Linked DNA regions of Medicago truncatula. The protein of the gene in region 3 interacts with the protein of the main gene of each other region in a pairwise test. Links are inferred from orthologs where the notes say so. Each region holds a gene or a part of one and is shown on either strand. Other genes may lie near its edges.

Evidence for each region.
Region 1: the proteins of mitogen-activated protein kinase 3 (region 3) and protein MARD1 interact in binary tests that used the Arabidopsis thaliana proteins (3 or more experiments, as listed by UniProt). The link is inferred for Medicago truncatula from reciprocal best matches to the Arabidopsis thaliana genes MPK3 and AT3G63210.
Region 2: the proteins of mitogen-activated protein kinase 3 (region 3) and nucleoside diphosphate kinase 2, chloroplastic interact in binary tests that used the Arabidopsis thaliana proteins (3 or more experiments, as listed by UniProt). The link is inferred for Medicago truncatula from reciprocal best matches to the Arabidopsis thaliana genes MPK3 and NDPK2.

The regions. Positions count from the first base shown.
Region 1 is NC_053042.1:35,789,005-35,794,872, reverse strand, and holds protein MARD1, read right to left. Parts: upstream 1,816-5,868; 5' UTR 1,500-1,815; coding exon 856-1,499; intron 756-855; coding exon 686-755; 3' UTR 520-685; downstream 1-519. UniProt on the Arabidopsis thaliana protein: May act as an adapter to facilitate the interaction of SnRK1 complex with effector proteins, conferring tissue- and stimulus-type specific differences in the SnRK1 regulation pathway. Involved in seed dormancy control.
Region 2 is NC_053045.1:50,982,277-50,989,687, forward strand, and holds the start of nucleoside diphosphate kinase 2, chloroplastic, read left to right. Parts: upstream 1-4,392; 5' UTR 4,393-4,475; coding exon 4,476-4,712; intron 4,713-4,823; coding exon 4,824-4,880; intron 4,881-4,988; coding exon 4,989-5,075; intron 5,076-6,669; coding exon 6,670-6,750; intron 6,751-6,837; coding exon 6,838-6,950; intron 6,951-7,083; coding exon 7,084-7,133; intron 7,134-7,411. Other genes in the region: GRAS family protein RAD1, read left to right, coding at 1,337-2,842. UniProt on the Arabidopsis thaliana protein: Major role in the synthesis of nucleoside triphosphates other than ATP. The ATP gamma phosphate is transferred to the NDP beta phosphate via a ping-pong mechanism, using a phosphorylated active-site intermediate. May activate MPK3 and MPK6.
Region 3 is NC_053045.1:30,780,330-30,787,598, reverse strand, and holds the start of mitogen-activated protein kinase 3, read left to right. Parts: upstream 1-4,257; 5' UTR 4,258-4,384; coding exon 4,385-4,545; intron 4,546-4,665; coding exon 4,666-4,795; intron 4,796-5,975; coding exon 5,976-6,113; intron 6,114-6,226; coding exon 6,227-6,559; intron 6,560-6,810; coding exon 6,811-6,994; intron 6,995-7,121; coding exon 7,122-7,269. UniProt on the Arabidopsis thaliana protein: Involved in oxidative stress-mediated signaling cascade (such as ozone). Involved in the innate immune MAP kinase signaling cascade (MEKK1, MKK4/MKK5 and MPK3/MPK6) downstream of bacterial flagellin receptor FLS2.

The DNA of each region.
Region 1 (5,868 bases), on a different chromosome or scaffold from region 3:
ATGATAATTTAATCATTTTGCTAATTAGGTTGATCATGTTAAACAAGCCATTGCATTCTTTTCCTTTTCGGCACATAATTATAATTATTGGTGACTTGATGTGGATATAATTGTTTGTAATTTAATATTAGAATGGCTTTAAAACCGAACTTTGAAATTTTGGGATTCTCACAGTTGTTAATACGTACAAAGTGTCTCATTGATGCCTAATACTCAATTATTTGGATCATGGAGTAATAGGTAAGGAAAAGGACCTATAACAAATGTATATTTCTCTGTCAATGTCAGTTTTTTTCTATGTATTATAATGGTTTGCTCGATTTTTATCTAAGTTGAGGGGCGTGAAAACCATATCATAATAATAGAATACATCATGTACTAGTATTCTATTAATGATTAATTGGAATCTTCTTGAGAGAAATAATTTATTGGTCCCCATGTAATAATTATATGCATTATCATGGCCAACAACTAAGATAAGAAGGAAAATTAAAGGCACTATTTTCAATCATGGCATCATTATCATGAGAAGCAATCTATTCAATACTGCTCACATTTCTTGAAATGAACTCTACAATACATCCTCTTTTATATCTATTTGCAAGGTTGAAGGAGGAAAAATCACACAAATAGAACTTAAAAAGGTAAAAAAAAACATAATAAGTAAATTGTGAGCATTAAATTATTAATTTTCTGCTTCATCTAACACCATCTCTTTGTGTCTACATTCTTGACTGCAAAAAGCTTTTTCTCCTCTGCAAAAAAAAAAAAAAAAAAAAAAACACTATCAAGTTAATGTTCCTTAATAAGTTTTGCTCAAGTAACTAAATAAATATTTAAATGTACTAAACTTACCTGTAAATGAAGATGTCTTTTGTATGCTCAAGATGATTTTTGCAAGTGTAACAAAAGCTAAGAAAATTCATTGAAAAAGAGTGAGGACTATTGGTGACAGAACAGTAACTTTCTTCCACAACACAATTATCAAATATATGAGTTGTTTTTGGGTTTGGTCCATGAGATATCACACATGTGTATTCTTCAGAAAGTTCCATCTCACTCAAACTAAGAACACTTTTTTGTGACTCAAACATGGAAGGTGGTAGAGGAGGGATTTTCACTCTAAGCTCAGTTCCAAAGAGAACTTTTCTATTGCTTAGTTTATGATCAGAATTTTGATGAGAAGGTTCATCTTTTAGAACACCAATAAGACCAAGACCAATGGTTTTTGAAGCTACTTTGTCCCTAGTGCTACAAACTTTGTTGCTATTGGTAATTGAGAAAGGATTTTCAAATGAGGTTAATGCTTTTGTGTCAAGAGTTGATGTTGGACTTATCAAAGCTTCAGTTCCAGTGAGAGATTTTTTGGAAGTGAAATGAAAATCTCTATAGTTTGGTGAACCAAATAGAGATGGGAGTGTAGTGAAATTTTGATTTGGTGATTGTTCACCCATCAAAGTTTGTTTGGTGACTGCTCTTGATCTGTTTCTGAGTAGCATAAGTGCTTATTTTAAGCACTTCTAAGATGAAAAAGAAAATATTAAAATTTAAAAGTGTTTCACTTGAGGACTCTAAAGAAAAAGAATCCTAAGTGTATTGTGTTTGGTCTTGTGAATTTTCTTCAAGAAGAAAAAGCATGATTTAGTAGTGGTACATGTACTACAATATTTGGTTTATTTTTCAGCCTTAACTTTGAAACTTTGTGAAGAAAAAAACAGAAAGAAAGAGAAGAAAAAGAAGGAAGCTTTTGACATGGAATAGAGAGAGATATGACTGAATAATATATATGGCTTTTAAAGGAAGAAAAAGCAAAAGATGTTGTGTGCATGAAAATCAAACGTTAATAATACTTCAAAGTTTTGCTTTCTTTTTTAATTGAAAAAAAAGTTCTATTCTATTTTTCTCCATCTAAATCTCAATTCAACTGTGTCACTAAACATATTGATTTTTATTTTTTGTCTTTTTCTAATCATTTATTTATTGTATATATATATATATCTGTGTGTGTGTGATTTGATCCAAGGTTTTTTGTCCTGACTATAGTAATCTGGTGTGCCTTCGAACCATGGAATAGGAAAAAAAATTAAGGGAGATCTCACCTTTATGAATTGATTGAGAAAGTTAAGCATTGACATATTAAAAAAAAATTATAGTGTAAGTTTTATTTGCAATAGAACATGTAATAGATATAGAATAATATTGGACAATTGAAACATTTTTTTGTCATTTACAATATTTGGTAGACAATATACAACCCAAATAAAATAATGTGAGGTTTGTTTTTGATAACAGAATCTTGCCCAAAGTATTAAGAGGGCAGAAAGTACTAGTTAAAATTTTAAAACTTTATGATTGATATTCATAAGAGTAATATATAATTTTTTCCTACTCTTGAAAAATACATCAATTTACTTATATTAAAAATTGTATCACAGTAGCAAAATAAAAAACAACAATTGTATCACTCATAAAAAATGCACAAATTAATTATGTTTTTTTTAACAAATATATATATATATATATATATATATATATATATATATATATATATATATATATAACCCAAGAGAATTCTCAAGCACAAGGTGTGCTAAAGAAAGCTCAACAGTACACAGTTACAAAGTCCGATGTGAAGTAATACAAAAACAGATTAGCCATGCCCTAACAAACAAAAGGGCTCGACCACCACATATGAAAATTAGCCCAAATAGAAATATTAATAGTCTTCATCCACCAAAAGGAATGTAATTTGACTTTCTCTACCAATTGGTGGATGGTGCTCTCCATATTTTTGAAGATCCGACTATTTCTTTCATTCCACATGACCCACACACAATACAACCAAATAAGCTACACAAAAGATCGACGGGTACGCGAGCCACCTGCGCAATAAACAAACTGATAAAAACGATCTGACACTTGTAATGGCTCGGCTAAAGCTATACCCATCCAGGACCGAATTTTGCCCCACAAAGTTGCAAAAAAAGACAAGAGAGAAACAAATGTTGAGTAGTCTCGATGTCGCCGCAACCCACCACACAATGCCGATTAGCGTGAGGAAGAACACCGCGCACGAGCAAATTATCCTTCGTCGTCAATCTATTCTGAAGGAGCCGCCACGCAAGAATAGAGAGACCTTCAAGGAAACTTGTTTGTGCATAATTAAATCCGATAAAACTTATGTTGTCTAAACCTACTGACTGGTAAGCAATTGGTAAACACCTCTAACTGAGTAACCACTCGACGGATCAAGCCTCCAAACCCACTGATCTGTAGAATTTTGCTGCAAAGAAATGTCAGATAGTAAAATCCTACACTGCCCTAACAACTCATCCTCCCAAACCCACAACCGCTTGCGCCACTGTCAAGCCTCCCCGCCTTCCTCCCACCCTAACGAAAACATCTCCGCCATCGAAACAGACTTATTCACAGCTAAATCGAAAAACGTCTAAACTAGACACACAAAGGCGCATCACCCACCCACGGATCTAACCAAACCAACGTATACAACATTGATATGCACAAATTAATTACTAATTTCATATTTTTCTTTTCGATAAGGTAGAATTGTTTTGATTGCAAAAATTGTATTTTCAATAATATTAGCGGGGTAGTGGTGGTAATAGTTAGGGATGGTAATGAGTACCAATGGATAGAGTACTATTGTACCCTTTTTCATACCCGTGTTTGTAAAAAAATGCATGTATATGAGCCTGTACCATCGTGGTAACAATTTTAGTGTCATTCCCCATACCTTGTGGGCACCTAAGTGTTCATACCTGTACCCATACCCACACTTTAATTATAAAAAGACAATAAAAAACATCACAATTGAAATAAAACTATGATCCAATTTTTTTTAATGCAACTAATAAAAGTAGAAATCGTAGTATTTAACCAAATAAAAAAACATCCAAAATATTTCTCAAAAATTAAAATAAAATCATTCAAAATACATATAAAAATGTGCATGTTAAAATAAACATCAAATTGATTTAAATCATAAATTTGTAGCTCGTGAGCTTATGATGGTAATGATGAAATGATTACTGTATTAGTTTTTAGGTTTAGGTTTATCCTTAAATAACTAAATAAATTAAATAATTGTACACAAAAAATAAATAAAATATGGCTTAATTGCATATTTGATCCCTTATGTTTATTTTAGTTTTCAAGTTGGTCCCTATGTTTTAAAAGTTTCAAGTTGGTCCCTTACGTTTTAAAAGTTTCAAGTTGGTCCAAAACGTTACTCACGTTGGAATAAGCCAGTCCCTTCAATCACTTAACATTTAAATATTCGGGTTGACAATATGGGTGATGGAATGGACTAACTTATTTCAATGTGAGTAACGTTTTGGACCAACTTGAAACTTTTAAAACGTAAGGGACCAACTTTAAAACTAAAATAAACATAAGGGATCAAACATGCAATTAAACCATAACATATTTATTATATTATATAAATATGTATATGCCGGTTGTGAAGTTGGGTAGTATAGTACCTTTATCCGCATCCATACCCAACTGAATTTGCGGGTATTATCCGGACCCAAGTCCATACCCATAAAAACGGGATTTTACCCTGCTCTTTGCGAGTATTTTTTGCGGGTGCTCATCGGACCTGGGTCCAATTACCATCTACAGTAATAGTACAAATTATAAGACAATTTTCATGATCATTTGTTGGTTCACATGGTTGTGAAGAAACAAAACTATTATTGAAAGAGTTTTTTTTTTTTTTTTTTTTTACAACCAAATAACTCTGTCTCAATGATCCAAAATTTATTAGAAAAACAGACTTGTATTCGAACCAACCACCTCATCGTGATCTTTAAATGAAGGGGATAATATGCATAGGTTGAAAAAAAAGATGTTTTAACAAAATCCAAATTAAATATAAAATTTTAAGCACCAAAATCATAATTTTTTTTTTCATCCATAACTACCCATAAAATATTTCACAAACTCATTAAAGAATTTTTCATATTTTTTTATCTTCCTAAAATAGGCAAATCACTTAAAAATTTAAGACTTTACCTATTTTGAAAAATAAAAACTATAAAAACATTATCAATTAAAGAAGAGTAAGTTAACGACTATAATCAATGTCTTGAAAACTTTTATATGATAACTTTGTATGAAAACATATGTAATCAATGTCTTGAAAATCGAAATGTTGACTTTTTTATAAATTAGTTTCTTTTTTTTAGAATATTTAAAGAGTGCCTTAAAGGCACTCTTTAACTAGATCCATTGGCCCATTAAAGAATCCAAAATGTGTTGAAGATTAAATACCTTTTCCAATGGGTAGTACTACCACACCTTCGACTTTGACTGCAGTCCTACCATTATTTTTATACCAAATGAAATCCTTTCCAAACGTCTATCTCTCTAATGTGGGACTTGAATGTATCTAATTCTTTCACGGACCAGTTTAGCTTAAGCATCCTGGTAGTAACAATAAGAAGGAAGGATCACTATCTTATGCATTAAGACTCTCTTATGTAGTGTTTGTTTCCTAAAAGTTCTATTCAATTTAAGTAACGAGATTATTAACATTTATGAGAATAGAAGTCAGTTTTCAACTCAAAATAACACTCGTTGATCGAGTGGTAGCTACTGATTAGAGGGTGATAAGAAATCGAAATTGATTAAGTATTTATTTTTTTGAATATTCTGAATATACATGCTGAAAATAATTTGGCAATGTCCCTTTGCTCACCCCAGCGAAAAGGCTAGTTGTCGTGAATCCCTCAAGTTTTAGTATTTTGGCAAGGTGTGTCATTATTGCCCGTTGAAACCGTAAATGTTGCGACGCTTGCATATTCAAAACCAGTGTTTATTTATGAATTGTTAAAATTTGGTTGG
Region 2 (7,411 bases), about 20 Mb from region 3:
AAATTCTCTATCTTTCTCAGGATAATCATGTTACTGAACACAACTGAGAATAAGAAGAGAGAATATGAAAAAGGTTTATCCCAAAAGTTGTCATGAAATTGTTATACAAATATTATTTATACTACAGGGCAGGGCTTTTCGTGCCCGTTTATTAGTTATTTTTATTGCATCAATATATATATAAATTACGAATAATAGTTTTTATGAAATTTTGATTAAAATTATTTTGATTTTGATTAAAAGTATATGTTTAGATAATATTTTTATTTTTTTGAGGGATATATTTAGATAAATAGATAATAGATATTTTACGCTTTTATATTATAACAAACTATATTTATCTTTTTCAATGATACTAACAATGTAACAAATACAATATAAATTATTATCTTTTTGAATAACACTAAGAAAATAACATATTAATAGTTAAATTTATTTTAGAGTATTATTAAAAGTAAAAAAGACAACCAAAACCATGTATTTTTTCTTGTATACAATGTAGATGTTGGAATGCCGGGAGAATATATGTGTACAATGTTGGAATCCGGGGGAGTATATGTAGTTTTACAAGGACTGAGAGAGTACATTAGTAGCTATTACGTCACTGGACGAGAAATTACGTATGCCCCAAACCCTGTGTAGACGCGGTTCTTTTGTTGACCATGACAACAGCGACAAAAATAAACGTTATTTAACTGCCAACAAATTATGCTGTACTATTTTATTATCATTGTACCAAGGAAAAAAAATTATAATAATAAATAATACAATTACATCTCTAATTTCCTTTACATCTCTATTTAACACCTCATTTTATCTCTCTGTCTCTCTTTCTGTTACATCAACAATATAATTGAACGTCACTCTATTATCTCTTTCTTTTTCACGATGTCAAAGAGTTTTAGATGTCCACCTATCTTTTCTCTGAGAAATTATGCTTTACCAACTAATTAGTATAACCTCATGCATGCCGTTTGTCAAATTCCAATATCCTGGGAGCGGAAACAATGCGCTCTTGAGATTCCCTTATTCATCAAAATTCAATTTAATTTGCTATGCTATATTTCAACGTCAACAAGAGAAGTTGACAGCATATGTTACGTACTCTAATTTTGTACCAAAATATTATAATAAAGCAAACCTTGTTATTAACGTCAACAAGGTAATTTTTGCTATAAATTGTCCATCATTTGTATGTACGTTCTTTCAGAGCTTTGTTGAATATCTTTAGAAAGCAAACTTATAAAGTGTTATAGACATTAATTGAGAAATTAATATGTCACCTGCACTTTATGCTAGTACCTTCAAATGTGAGGTAGATGAAAATCCATCATTAATGGGTTCTTACTATGCTTCTTTATATCCAAATTTGCCTATTTTAGAAAACAGTGCTACTTCAACATGGATCCTTAATCCATTTTCTGATCATGAAACTGAAACCATTAGGGATCACAAGAAATTGAAAAGATCAACCGTAACTATCCCTATTTGGTTTGCTAATTTCAGCAGCCATAGTAATAGTTTCTTCAATAACATCAACAGCAATAACAACAGTGTGAATAGCATTCCAAGGCTTCATTTCAGAGATCACATAAGAACTTATAAACAAAGATATTTTGCTTCTGAAGCTGTTGAAGAAGCAGCAGAAGATAACTTCAACTACAATAATTGCGAAGCTGAAGAAGATGGTTCATGTGCTGATGGAATGAGACTAGTTCAACTTCTAATTGCATGTGCTGAAGCTGTCGCGTGTCGCGATAAATCACACGCTTCGGTTTTACTATCTGAGCTTAAATCAAATGCTTTGGTGTTTGGTTCTTCGTTTCAAAGAGTTGCTTCTTGTTTTGTTCAAGGACTCACAGAGAGACTAACTCTGATTCAACCAATTGGTAATAACTCTGCTGGATCAGATACAAAATCAATGATGAACATAATGGATGCTGCATCAGAAGAAATGGAAGAAGCATTCAAGTTGGTTTATGAAAATTGTCCACATATTCAATTTGGACATTTTGTGGCTAATTCCATAATATTGGAAGCCTTTGAGGGTGAGAGTTTTCTTCATGTGGTTGATCTTGGCATGAGCCTTGGTCTTCCACATGGACACCAATGGCGAGGACTAATTCAAAGTCTCGCGGATCGATCCAGCCACCGTGTTCGGAGGCTTAGGATCACAGCGATTGGTCTATGCATTGCTAGAATCCAAGTCATTGGTGAAGAACTCTCAATTTACGCGAAAAACTTGGGGATTCATTTGGAATTCTCAATTGTTGAGAAGAATTTGGAGAATTTGAAACCTAAGGACATAAAAGTGAATGAAAAAGAGGTCCTTGTGGTTAACAGCATTCTTCAATTGCATTGTGTTGTTAAAGAGAGTCGTGGCGCTTTGAATGCGGTTTTACAAATGATACACGGTCTTTCACCGAAAGTGTTGGTTATGGCTGAGCAAGATTCTGGTCATAATGGACCTTTTTTCCTTGGAAGGTTTATGGAATCATTGCATTATTATTCTGCTATTTTTGACTCATTGGATGCTATGCTGCCAAAGTATGACACTAAGAGGGCAAAAATGGAACAGTTTTATTTTGCTGAGGAGATAAAGAACATTGTGAGCTGTGAAGGACCATTGAGGATGGAGAGGCATGAGAAAGTTGATCAGTGGAGGAGGAGAATGAGTAGGGCTGGATTTCAAGGTTCACCTATTAAGATGGTGGTTCAAGCTAAGCAGTGGCTTGTGAAGAATAATGTTTGTGATGGATATACTGTTGTGGAAGAGAAAGGGTGTTTGGTTCTTGGATGGAAATCAAAGCCTATTGTTGCAGTTTCTTGCTGGAAATGCTGAATGACCTCTTTTTAGTTCTGTCAATAAATAACAGTTCTGTGAGAAGCTGTTATATGTGTTTGAATAATTTGTTTTTGTGTGCATGTTGTGAATTTAAGACCCTATATTAGTAGCTTGTGAAAGTACTGAAATATTTAGGGCGAGAATAAAACTTTTGATGTAATTCTGTGTGTGGTGTGGCTGCTTGAGATGGAGCAGAAATAAAGTGATGACTAATTATTGTTGTGTGCATAACATGTGTAGGAGTTTGATGAGATGTAAATCCTACTAACATTTATTTGATTCAATTTTTCAATGAACTTAATAATACTCTCTCCAAAAAATTCCTGTATTTGTTGGTTAATGTTGGCCATTTATTTCATGTAGGTATATGTATATCCAAGCCTATCTTTTAGCACTAAGTTCATTCAATTTTTTTTTTTGTTTGAAGGGAATTTCATTCATATTTGTGTTCTAAAACACAATGTACTAGAAAAAGAGTTCATTATGGATAGCATGGCCTGAGGTGGCCAAGAGTGGAGGGGCTGCAAATGCAGAGTGTGATAGAGGAATGTGGGCATATCCGCAAAATATACCTCAAAGGTGCATTGGTAAAATAAATTTTAGACAATTTTCATATTTGTCATTATATATTATCTTTAAAATAAAATGATAAAATGCCAAATTTAATAATTTAAATATTGATATAATGTTTCCCTAAAAAAGTCTATTGATATAATGTTAAAATGGTAGCATTTATATACAAAACATGTACTCGCTTTGTCGCTCTTATCTCGTTAGTCGTTACTTCTTCCTTCGCCTAAACTAGTCGTATTTCTAAGCTTTGTTTGAGAGTTTGGAGGGGAGGGGAGGGGAGTGTTTTGAGGGATGAGAAATATATATAAAAATGAAGAAATTTTTCACTTTTTTTTTTAAAGAGAACTAATGTTTATGATTAATACATTTTTAATTTTAAAAATATTAGTATAACAACAAATATTGAATTTGAAAAATTCATATAAACACTCCAAATCCCTTCCTCAATGCATTTTTTTTTTCTTCAGTTCTTTAAAATTATAAGAATTATATGTTATGAATAAAAATTAACCCCAATATCTTCTTTTTCATTCCTTTTTATTCAAAACACTCCCCTCCCCTCCAACCTCTAAAAAAAAAAACCGTAAGTTAATCTCAATTCTTTCAATTGATTGAGAAATTTATTTAATAATAAAAAAGAATTTGTAAAGAGAAACTATCATCTATTGACAAGTGGTAAATTCTGTAAATAAAAAAAAAAAAAAGACAAGTGGTAAATTCATGAATTTAGTGTCTAACTTTTTTGAAAAGGATAATAATCAAATCAACTTGATATTAATAATAATTAATTGAAGTAGACAGAAGAATTTGTAATTACATTCTTTCTTTCCTTGTTAAAAAATTACATTATTTTTTTCTAAAAAAAACAATTTTTGTATCATTTTTTTCTCGATAATCTTTTGATTTTTATCATTATATTAAAAAAAAAAAAAAAAAAAACAGTAGTATAGTTTAAAAATTACCAAAGTCGCTTTCTTTCTGACTTGCCACATCCAAATCCAAACTCCAAAGAACATCGTTGTTCCACAGCCGCGACGCAAAGAGAGGAAGAAGAGAAATGGAAGCCATGGGCGTGTTTTGCGGAACCAATAGTATCTATGTCACATCCTCTCAATTACGCACCTCAAACACAAACACAAGAAGCTCTCAATTACGCACCACCCAACACCTTTCTGCATTTCCTTCTAAATCCCATCTTTTTTCATCTTCTACTTCTTCTTCCTATGCCAAAACCATCCGCACTAAAAGCTCCACCAATACCGGCATTTTCCTTCCCCACTTAATTGCTTCTCTCGTATGTTCTCTTTTTCTACTCGCCAATTTGCTCAATTTATTATCACTCTGTGTGTGTAATTCTATATATATATATATATATATATTTTTTTTTTTTTTAATGTTTGTGCAGGAACAAGTTGACCGAACTTATATTATGGTGAAACCCGATGGCGTGCAACGTGGTCTTGTAAGTCTCTTAATTTCATATGTTCTGGTTTCAGACATTAAGGGATGAAACAAAAATTAAAAAATTGAAGTTTAAGGTTATAATTGTTGTTTTGTTGAATTGGTTTAGGTGGGTGAAATTATTTCTAGGTTTGAGAAGAAGGGGTTTAAGTTAATTGGCTTGAAGCTCTTTCAATGCTCTAAAGAATTAGCTGAGGTTTGTCTACTTTCTTCAATACTTGCTTGTTTGTATATCCATGATGTCTTATGCTCAATTTATTTTTCTTGCTGTATATGGGGTTCAATTTGTAAAGGAGAATGACAGGGTTCAATATATTACATTGATATAAATACTATCTATTATTAATATGATGGGCTGCTTAACCTAATTGTGCTTTTCATAATAATAAAAATCATCTATAAGATTATTGACTCTTATTAAATAGAGCAGTAAAATGAGAAGATTGCTTTCTCAATTAGCAAACTTATTGATTACACAGTATACGCTAAATATCTTTTAAGATACTCCAAGATATACCATAGTGATGTATTGTTAACACTCTCCCTCTAAGGTATAGCTTGTTATTGTTAATCTTTAAGTTATCCGGAGAGACACTCTTGTTAGGGTGATGCAGTTGCAAGGGTGTTCAATTGGAGAGGAGGTAAATAGGATTTCAAGTAAAGCCAATCTGCATAAAAGACAAGACCTAAATAAAATCAATCTGCGTAACAAGATGGAGTAGAGCCAACACGCTCTAAGATAGGTATAAAGTAGTCGATCTGTGGTGAGAAGGGGATTGGAACAGAGTTAATTAAACAGCTTTAAAACTAGCCGGAGCAGAGCAAAAAGAGATCAAACATGAATGTCAGGGTCTGGTTCCATAAACTTGATAGTACAAGAAAGTCTCTTCAAGATGGATACCATGGCCTAATTATGGGTTTTAGGTAGGGAAGGACAAAAAGAGAGACAGGAGACCTGTAGTAATCTATTAATTTGGTATGATGTATGATGCAAAATATTAACTCAATGTCCTATTAACCCTAATTAAATGAAGAAAAGCACTAAGAGTATTGCTTTCTCAACTAGAATCCATGACATATTGTGAAGTTCATTGAAGGTATTCTCTGTATTTTAGAACTATTCTGAATATGTTTCCATAAAAGTATTGAGTATAGTTGCATGAAATGTCACAATATCAGGTGCTTGAGTAACTAATTCCAACCATCCAGTTACAAAATCCAATTGTATCCATATTTTCATGGTTGCTTACTACTCCCTCCGGTCCTTTATACAAGAAACAAAAAACATAAAACATCAACACCAAGAAATTACATTGAAAATAGTCATCTTCATTTAATACACTTCTACATTTAAAATAATTCTATGAATACCCTTAAATTAATTACTCTTTATTCCATCAACTTACTTACTTTTAATATTCTCTCTCATAATCAATAAGGGCACAAATGAAATTTAGCTTCAAACATATTTGAAACTTGATCAATCTTCTTATAAAAAGGACCAAAAAAATTCTCACTTTTGTTTCTAATAAAAAGGACCGGAGGTAGTATTTTTTTTGGTGGTGGCCGGGGTTTGAACCTCAGACCTTGCATATATTATGCATTGTCCATACCAACTGAGTTAAGCTCACGAGGACCATGGTTGCTTACTATACCAATATGATATAGAGTATAGACCTACATCTTATGTTTGCAATAATGTTGGTTCAGTTTGTGATGTTTGTCTTATGTTCAACTGTTAATTTGCTATTTACACATGGATGGCTTATTGTGACTGTTTATGGTTTCAGGAGCATTACAAGGACCTAAATCAAAGGTCTTTCTTCCCTAAGCTGAGTGAATATATTACTTCGGGCCCCGTTGTGTCTATGGTATAACTCTTTCCACTAGTATCCCATTTTCAATGAGGGTTTCACAGTATACCTGTTGAATGTACTTTCTGGTTTTATGTTTGCAAGGCTTGGGAGGGTGTTGGAGTAGTGCCATCAGCACGTAAGCTTATAGGAGCAACAAATCCTCTGCAAGCAGAACCAGGCACAATAAGAGGAGACTTTGCTGTTGAAACAGGAAGGTAAGGACTTTTCACATCTGATTTGTGAATTTTGTGAGCCTTGGTCAAGAATCAAAATAAGATTCATAGGGTGTGTTTTTCTGGTTGATTTGAGGATGTGGACTGACAAGATCTTATGATGAACTTTTGGCAGGAATGTTATCCATGGCAGTGACAGCCCTGAAAATGGCGAGCGTGAAATAGGTAAGGCCTCTTATAGTATCAGGATTCAGTTTAACCCAATAAATGCAACAAAAAGGATTGTGGATTGCAAAAGAGAATATCATTGTGTGCCGTTAATTTATATATTAGCAGGTTTAAAGAGTATTACAAATACAAAATAAAGCTTTAAATTTCATTTGTTGTTTTAAGCATTTGTCCTGGAAACAACCTTGGTGCAAGGTAAAGTTGTTGTCACGTGACTGAAAGGTCACGGGTTCAAGTCCAGGAAACAACCTCTTGTGTAAGAAACACGGTAAGGC
Region 3 (7,269 bases):
TGAAAAAAAAAATGTTAGACAACAACATACTGCACACACTCATCTACTCCTCCTCCCAAGTCAAAAGCCTACGCCACCATTTCCACCCATCTTCCCCGTCCCCCATCTCTGCCAGTGAAACAAAATGATTCTTCAATAATGAATATAGCCACCTAAACCTATCACTCATCACCCCTCCATCCAATCACTAGACTGACCAAAAGAAAGTCTTGGTCCCGTGACCCACAACCCACACCAAATTCTCGTCAAACCAACTCCCCACACCCAAACCTACACCTCTACGTATGGTCATGATATCGTGCCATCAATGTGAACCCATACGACCACCCTTTTTCACCCTCACCATCCTCTACCCCATACTTCGCTACCAACACCTTAAACCTTATACTCGATTGTTCCGCCTGCATTCTCCAACACCACTTTTATAACCATGGTAAATTAATTTGACTAATCCCCCTAACCCCAACCCTCCTTTCTCTTTATCCGAACAAATATTATCCCAGTTGATCCATGGTGATTTCCTAGACACCCCCCCACCAAAAAAAAAAAAAAAAAATCAAAATATAGATTTAATAGAGGAAATTATATATACATATGATGAAGTCTTCAAGAAGGAAAGAAAATAGATTAGGAGTGATGACAAGACATATTTAAGAAGAAACAAACGATTATCCAATAGCAAATTAGTTTAGTTAATGCAATTTAAATGGGTGATTGATTCAGTTCATTATGTGGTTAATGAGTTATTATATAGTTTAGTTTAGTTTTTTTTATAACCACAAATAAGTCCATGATTACCGACATTCAAATATTTGGTTCATTCAATTTATTACTGTTTAATGAATTACAATTATCAACTAAACATATTTAAAATGCTTTAAGCATGATCCAAGAACACTTAGATGAGAAGACAATATCTCTATGTTGGTATGAACAATGCATAATGTATGCAAGGTTTACTTTCTATCTGCATTTCATAAGGCTCGAGGGAGCGCACGGAAAATACTTTTTTTTTTTGAGAGGACGCACGGAAAATACATGTTTTATGCAAAAAAAAAAAAAGTCTTAATCATGAAATGAAAAAATGAACCACGTTGTGTTTTAAAAAAAAAAAAAAATCAATTTTCAAATAAATAAATATAATTGAACTACATCAAGATATTTGTTAATCACATAATGAACTGAATTAACTATGTTATTAAACCGTGTAACCATATAATAAATAAACAAACAATGTTAAGTGTCAAAAATCACCGTTAAAAAGTGATACCATTAACCAAGTACTATACATAATTAATCATTTATTTGTGCCAAAAATAGTTCAACTAACATTTCTGTTTTGAAATATTCAAGGTTCATCTAGTTTGAAAAAAAAAAAAAAAAAAAAAGAGTCAAAAATATTGTTTGAGAAAGTCAATAATGTTTAATAGTTTTCGAGGTAGTTATAGTATCAAGTCATCGATAGAAATAGAATGAGAAAAGAAACCCCCATTACCACTTACCATTGTCATGATATATTTATTATTATTATTCATTCTATTATCTGTAGAGAAGGGGCGCCCCGTGCTTCGTAGGTGAAGTTATTCTATTGCTGTTATTATTTGACTTTGTTATTCCATGTGGCTTGTGCATTTGTTCCTCACGTGCACATTATTGAAATGGAAAACACCAGATATTTTGTTTGCAAATATGAGACTAGGTCGTGTCTGAAATTTAATTTCTGTACCAAATGTTGACTCCTGAATAATAGGAATACATACACCTGCTATGAAGTTTACTCAATTATGAGACATGTTTAGGTCATTTTTAAGTTAATGTTCTATAAATTGAATCAAAACTAGCCGTCTAATTGGTTGAATTGTGGATCGATATTATTTATGATTAAGTTATTTGAGCGGTTTAATTGTGCTTTCTTATGTTTGAGCAAGTTAATAAAGTAGCTAAACTATGATATAGATATCTTGTCGATTGAGCGTCTGATTTGATTTTGGTTCTTAGGAGAAGGAGATTATGATAATTTAAAGCAAGTAAAATCTAATTAAAAGTTGTCCGAACCAAGATTTAATGTTTTCTCAAATGATTTGTCATATTCTAAATTGATTAATCACTTTGAGTTCAATCCATAGGAAATCCAATGGTTATGTAGTAACCCTAATCTTAATTATAAAGAATGACTCCCACAAAAAAAAACTTCATTTTTTGTAGTCAAGCTTCACCATAATTTTAAAATAATGAGTATGGTGTCAAATTGTGGTTACTATGCAAGTAAAGCTTGCAAAAGTTTTAAATTTTATATAGAAATATCATGCATAAAACAATTGAAAGATGACAAGATTTGAAATGTTTAACTATTCAATGAAACTTATCAAGGATATGTATATGAAGGAGAGAACTATTCATGAAGCATAAAATACAAACAAATAACTCGTTGAATTTGAAATGATCAGAAATGTGAATGACTTTGACGAAAGATTCTTGGACAAAAATTTGAGTGCACATTGATAAAAAAGAAATTTAAATGACTAAACAAAGGGTATAAAGACAATAGCTTGAAACGGAAGACGAGGAACGAGAAAGAAAGCAACAAATAATAAAACAAGAACAACAACATGAATGATTGAAAAGAAATTTCAATAAAGCGTAGAATTACAAGAATCCACACATCAGATTTGTGTCATGTTAACAAGAAAATATTAACGACTGTTGTTTAACCATATAAAGTAATAATTTTTATATTGAAAATTATGTAATTATGACTTTTACATGTGTTTGACTTGTATTTTTAAGATAAAATTATTTCTCGTTGTGGGTTCGTTAAATATTACTCTTAGCACACTTGTTAGCAAGACAAAAAAAATTACATATCAAGAAACACGTTCATACACATTTATTATAAAAAAATATTTTGGTTTTAGTTTTGGTTTTGGATTGAGAAAAGATAGGTGGACACCCCGTCCATCCAACCTACAAAGTATTATTACTTAACAAGTTTTTTTATATAGGTATTAGTACAACTTTATGCTACAAATTTGGCAGAGAATCAAGCCAGTAAATAAGTAGAGGATCAATAGGGTAATACATATTCTCACGCATATTGTTGGTTTTTGGAGCAATGTAGTGATAGAGAAGGATTATAGTCGAGAATATAAGAATGAAATCATTTTGTAATATGAGAACATTTTTATTTTTCCTTGCTTAGATTATCAAGAAAACCTAATCCACGGTGCCTTCAAACATTATGACGATCAAGTAAGTTAAAGGGCATGAGTGTGAGGTTTTAGGTTTTAGAAAATGTGTATTTGAATCTAGATTGACAACTTGGATGACAGTTGAGGGATGGTGTACCTGTAAACATTACGACAATCAAGTAAGTCAAATGTCATGAATGTAATGTTTTAGTGTTTAAAAAATGTGTACTTAAACATGTTTCATAAGTCAGGTTTTATAGGAAAAAGATAAAGGATTTTTTTTGGATAAAAACCCTAATTGAACAACTTTAGACATATCATTGTGTGATATTCATCATATTGTCCTACAAGGATTCCGAAATCTGGTTTTTGCGTATCTTTAAGCCTGTCCAAAACATAGTCTAAGATGAGTTAACATTGTTAGAGTGACCAATTACTACAAAGCAATATTCCTAACCATTTGCATAAAACGTTCCAAATGTTAATGTCATTTGTAAAAACATTAATTTAAACTAAACTCCAATTAAATATACATGTGTGTTTATTCCACATGAAAAACAACTCCTTATCTTAATCCTATATAATACATAAAAAACAGCTGTCAGATACAAATTGCCTATATATGTGCCAGAAAACAGTTGATCAATTATTTGAGTCATTAATCATTCTTAACTAAAATTGTAGTGATACTAATATATACGTATATGATCTCTTTTTAATGACGGAAAGAGGGGCCTAATTAGTCCATTTTAGGAGAGATTTTAATTTTATATCAAGGTGTAGGTATCAGTCAATTTTTGTATATAATATTTAAATCCCTCTGACTTATTTTATTTCTAATGATATTATATTTTAGTCATTCATTAAGATAGTAGTTGAAATAATTGAACAAGCTAAGACCGTAGATTAGAGGCGGCTACAATCACAACCGTCCGATCAAAAATACAAACGCGTCGTTCTTGTAACGCGCGTGTGTTAATCTCCTTCGCGCGTTTTCGCACCTTCTTCGTAGCATCTTCTCCGAAAATAGATTCTATAAAATTCAACGTGCTTCACAAGCCGAGTCAATAACTCACTATAAACATTATTTAAATTGAAATTCACCGCCTTCTTCTTCAACACACTACCATCGCCGACGCTTTCTAGAGAGAGAAAAAAATTCTTGAGAGTGAAGAAAATCAAATCAAATCAAATCAATGGCCGGAGTTAACCAAAACGGCGTCGCTGAGTTTCCGGCGGTTCAGACTCACGGCGGACAGTTCGTTCAGTACAACGTGTTCGGTAATCTTTTCGAGGTTACGGCTAAGTATCGTCCTCCGATCATGCCTATTGGTCGTGGTGCTTACGGAATCGTTTGGTATTGCTTCGTATAATCTACTTCTTTTTTGAATCGGTTTTGTTTATGATGGATTTGATTTAACGGTTTTGGAAAGTGAGAAATGAATCTGATTTGTTTTTGTTGATGTGATTTTTGAAGTTCGTTGTTGAATACGGAGACGAATGAGTTGGTTGCTGTGAAGAAGATAGCGAATGCTTTTGATAATCATATGGATGCGAAGCGTACGCTCCGTGAGATTAAGCTTCTTAGGCATTTAGATCATGAAAATGTGAGTAGTTATCTTTAAATTCTTAATTACTAAACTTTATTTGATTAATTAGATAGTTTCATTGAATTGACTTATTCCGGTTTATTCACTGCATAAACATTTTGAGAGTGTTCAGAAGAACTTATCAAAACGGCTTATGACATGTTTATAAACTATCTTTAGCTTATTTATTTTTGTAAGCTATTAACTTCTAAAAATACCAAAAAGCAGTGTAACTTTATTTTATATTTAATTATAAATAGCTAAAATAATCATTTATACATATGATAAACACTTATGTTATAAGCTGCAAATTAAGTTGTTAATCTATATGCTTTGTATGGTATAAATTTTCTAATCTGTGTGAAAAAGGACAATTAATAGTCAATTAAGGTAAAACTATTTGAAATTCTATATGGCTTTTTTTAGCATTGCTGCTACTTTCTGCGAAAGGTTCTTAAGTACCTATCACTATCATTGTTGTTGATAATATCGCGTTGACATTTCAAGTCATACATGAAGGATTGAGGAATACAAGTATTGTACGTAATGATCATGGAAAATTTGGTTCCTATTTTAGGAGTCGTACATTAAATGATTTTTTTTTTTGAAGTAAAAGTGTCGTACATTAAATGTTGAAAAATATGTGTGGTGAGTAGCTACACGTTTGTTGAGATTTAATGGAAACAAGCCATCTCTCTTGACAATGGTGGACCATGATGATTGAGAAAAAACCAAGTCAATAATGGAAAAAGATAATGCCCAAAAGAATAATTATGAAGAGTGTGACACCAATTATTTGTGTAAGGCTGAATTAAGTTCAATATCTAATAATAACTTATTGCTTTTGAAAAATATATGACACAAATTTAGTTAACAGGACTAATAAATCTTAGATAGGCTCTGATATCATCTTAAATTTTGGGTTGGTCCTAACTCAACTCTTACAAAACCGGCCTTTAAAATGGGTATTGCCTTCATTTATAATCACATTTTTTGGTCTTTTCTCACTCAATGCGGGACTCTTAACGGTTATATTTTTTTCCTTTCGAATAATACATAATTGGTTCATGCCTAATTGATTACTTTCATACATTTTAAAGTTTACACTGTAGTTTAAGTCTTAAAGTATCAAATGTGCAAATCTCAATTTGATAAATGTATATTTAGTAATGGTTAAAATGTTTGTTTTTTAAAACAGGTAATTGGTTTAAGAGATGTTATTCCACCACCCTTGCGTAGAGAGTTTAATGATGTTTACATAACCACCGAACTCATGGATACTGATCTTCACCAAATCATTCGCTCTAATCAAAACCTGTCAGATGAACACTGCCAGGTCAGTGTTTTGAATTTGTTGTTTTTAGTATCAAAATCATTGCCTTAACTTTTTTGCGCTGGAATTAATTGAACTACTCGTTTTGCTGATGATTGTATGCCTTGTACTTGCAGTACTTTTTGTATCAGATTCTTCGTGGGCTAAGGTATATACATTCTGCAAACATAATCCATAGAGATTTGAAACCAAGCAACCTGCTGTTAAATGCAAATTGCGACTTGAAGATTATTGATTTTGGTCTTGCGCGACCAACTATGGAAAGTGACTTCATGACAGAATATGTTGTCACGAGATGGTATAGGGCTCCTGAATTGTTGTTGAACTCCTCAGATTACACCTCTGCAATAGATGTCTGGTCTGTTGGTTGCATTTTTATGGAGCTTATGAATAAAAAGCCTCTGTTTCCTGGCAAAGATCATGTGCATCAAATGCGCTTATTGACAGAGGTAAGACTATAGGAATCAGCATAACTAATCATTTTCTTAAAAAATTTGCATTATCTTAAACGACACTTATAATGTGGCGGATGGAGTAAAACATTACACTAAATGTTTTCTCTAGTTGCTACTTACTCATATAAGTTGATATTCATATAAATATTTCATTATTAATGCCTTGAATACAATCAATAGTTTAATCATAAAAGTAGTAATATATCATATATGCTTAATTGCTTACACTTGTTGTTTTTCTACAGCTTCTTGGCACTCCAACTGACGCTGATGTGGGGTTAGTAAAAAATGACGATGCGAGAAGATATATCCGACAACTTCCTCAGTATCCTCGTCAACCTTTGAATAGGGTTTTCCCCCATGTTCATCCCTTAGCCATTGATCTTGTCGATAAAATGTTGACAATTGATCCTACCAGAAGAATTACAGGTAATTTTCTCATCCTTGCATTCATTTATGTCTCTATAGCTAGATAAAGCAGTAATGGGTTCATTTTGAATATAATGTTGAATTACATTGAATAAATTTTCATATCTGCTTGTTTAAATATTGGCAGTTGAAGAAGCACTGGCTCATCCATACCTTGAAAAACTGCATGACGTAGCTGATGAACCTATCTGCATGGAGCCATTCTCATTTGAGTTTGAGCAACAACATTTGGATGAAGAACAAATAAAGGAGATGATCTACAGGGAAGCATTAGC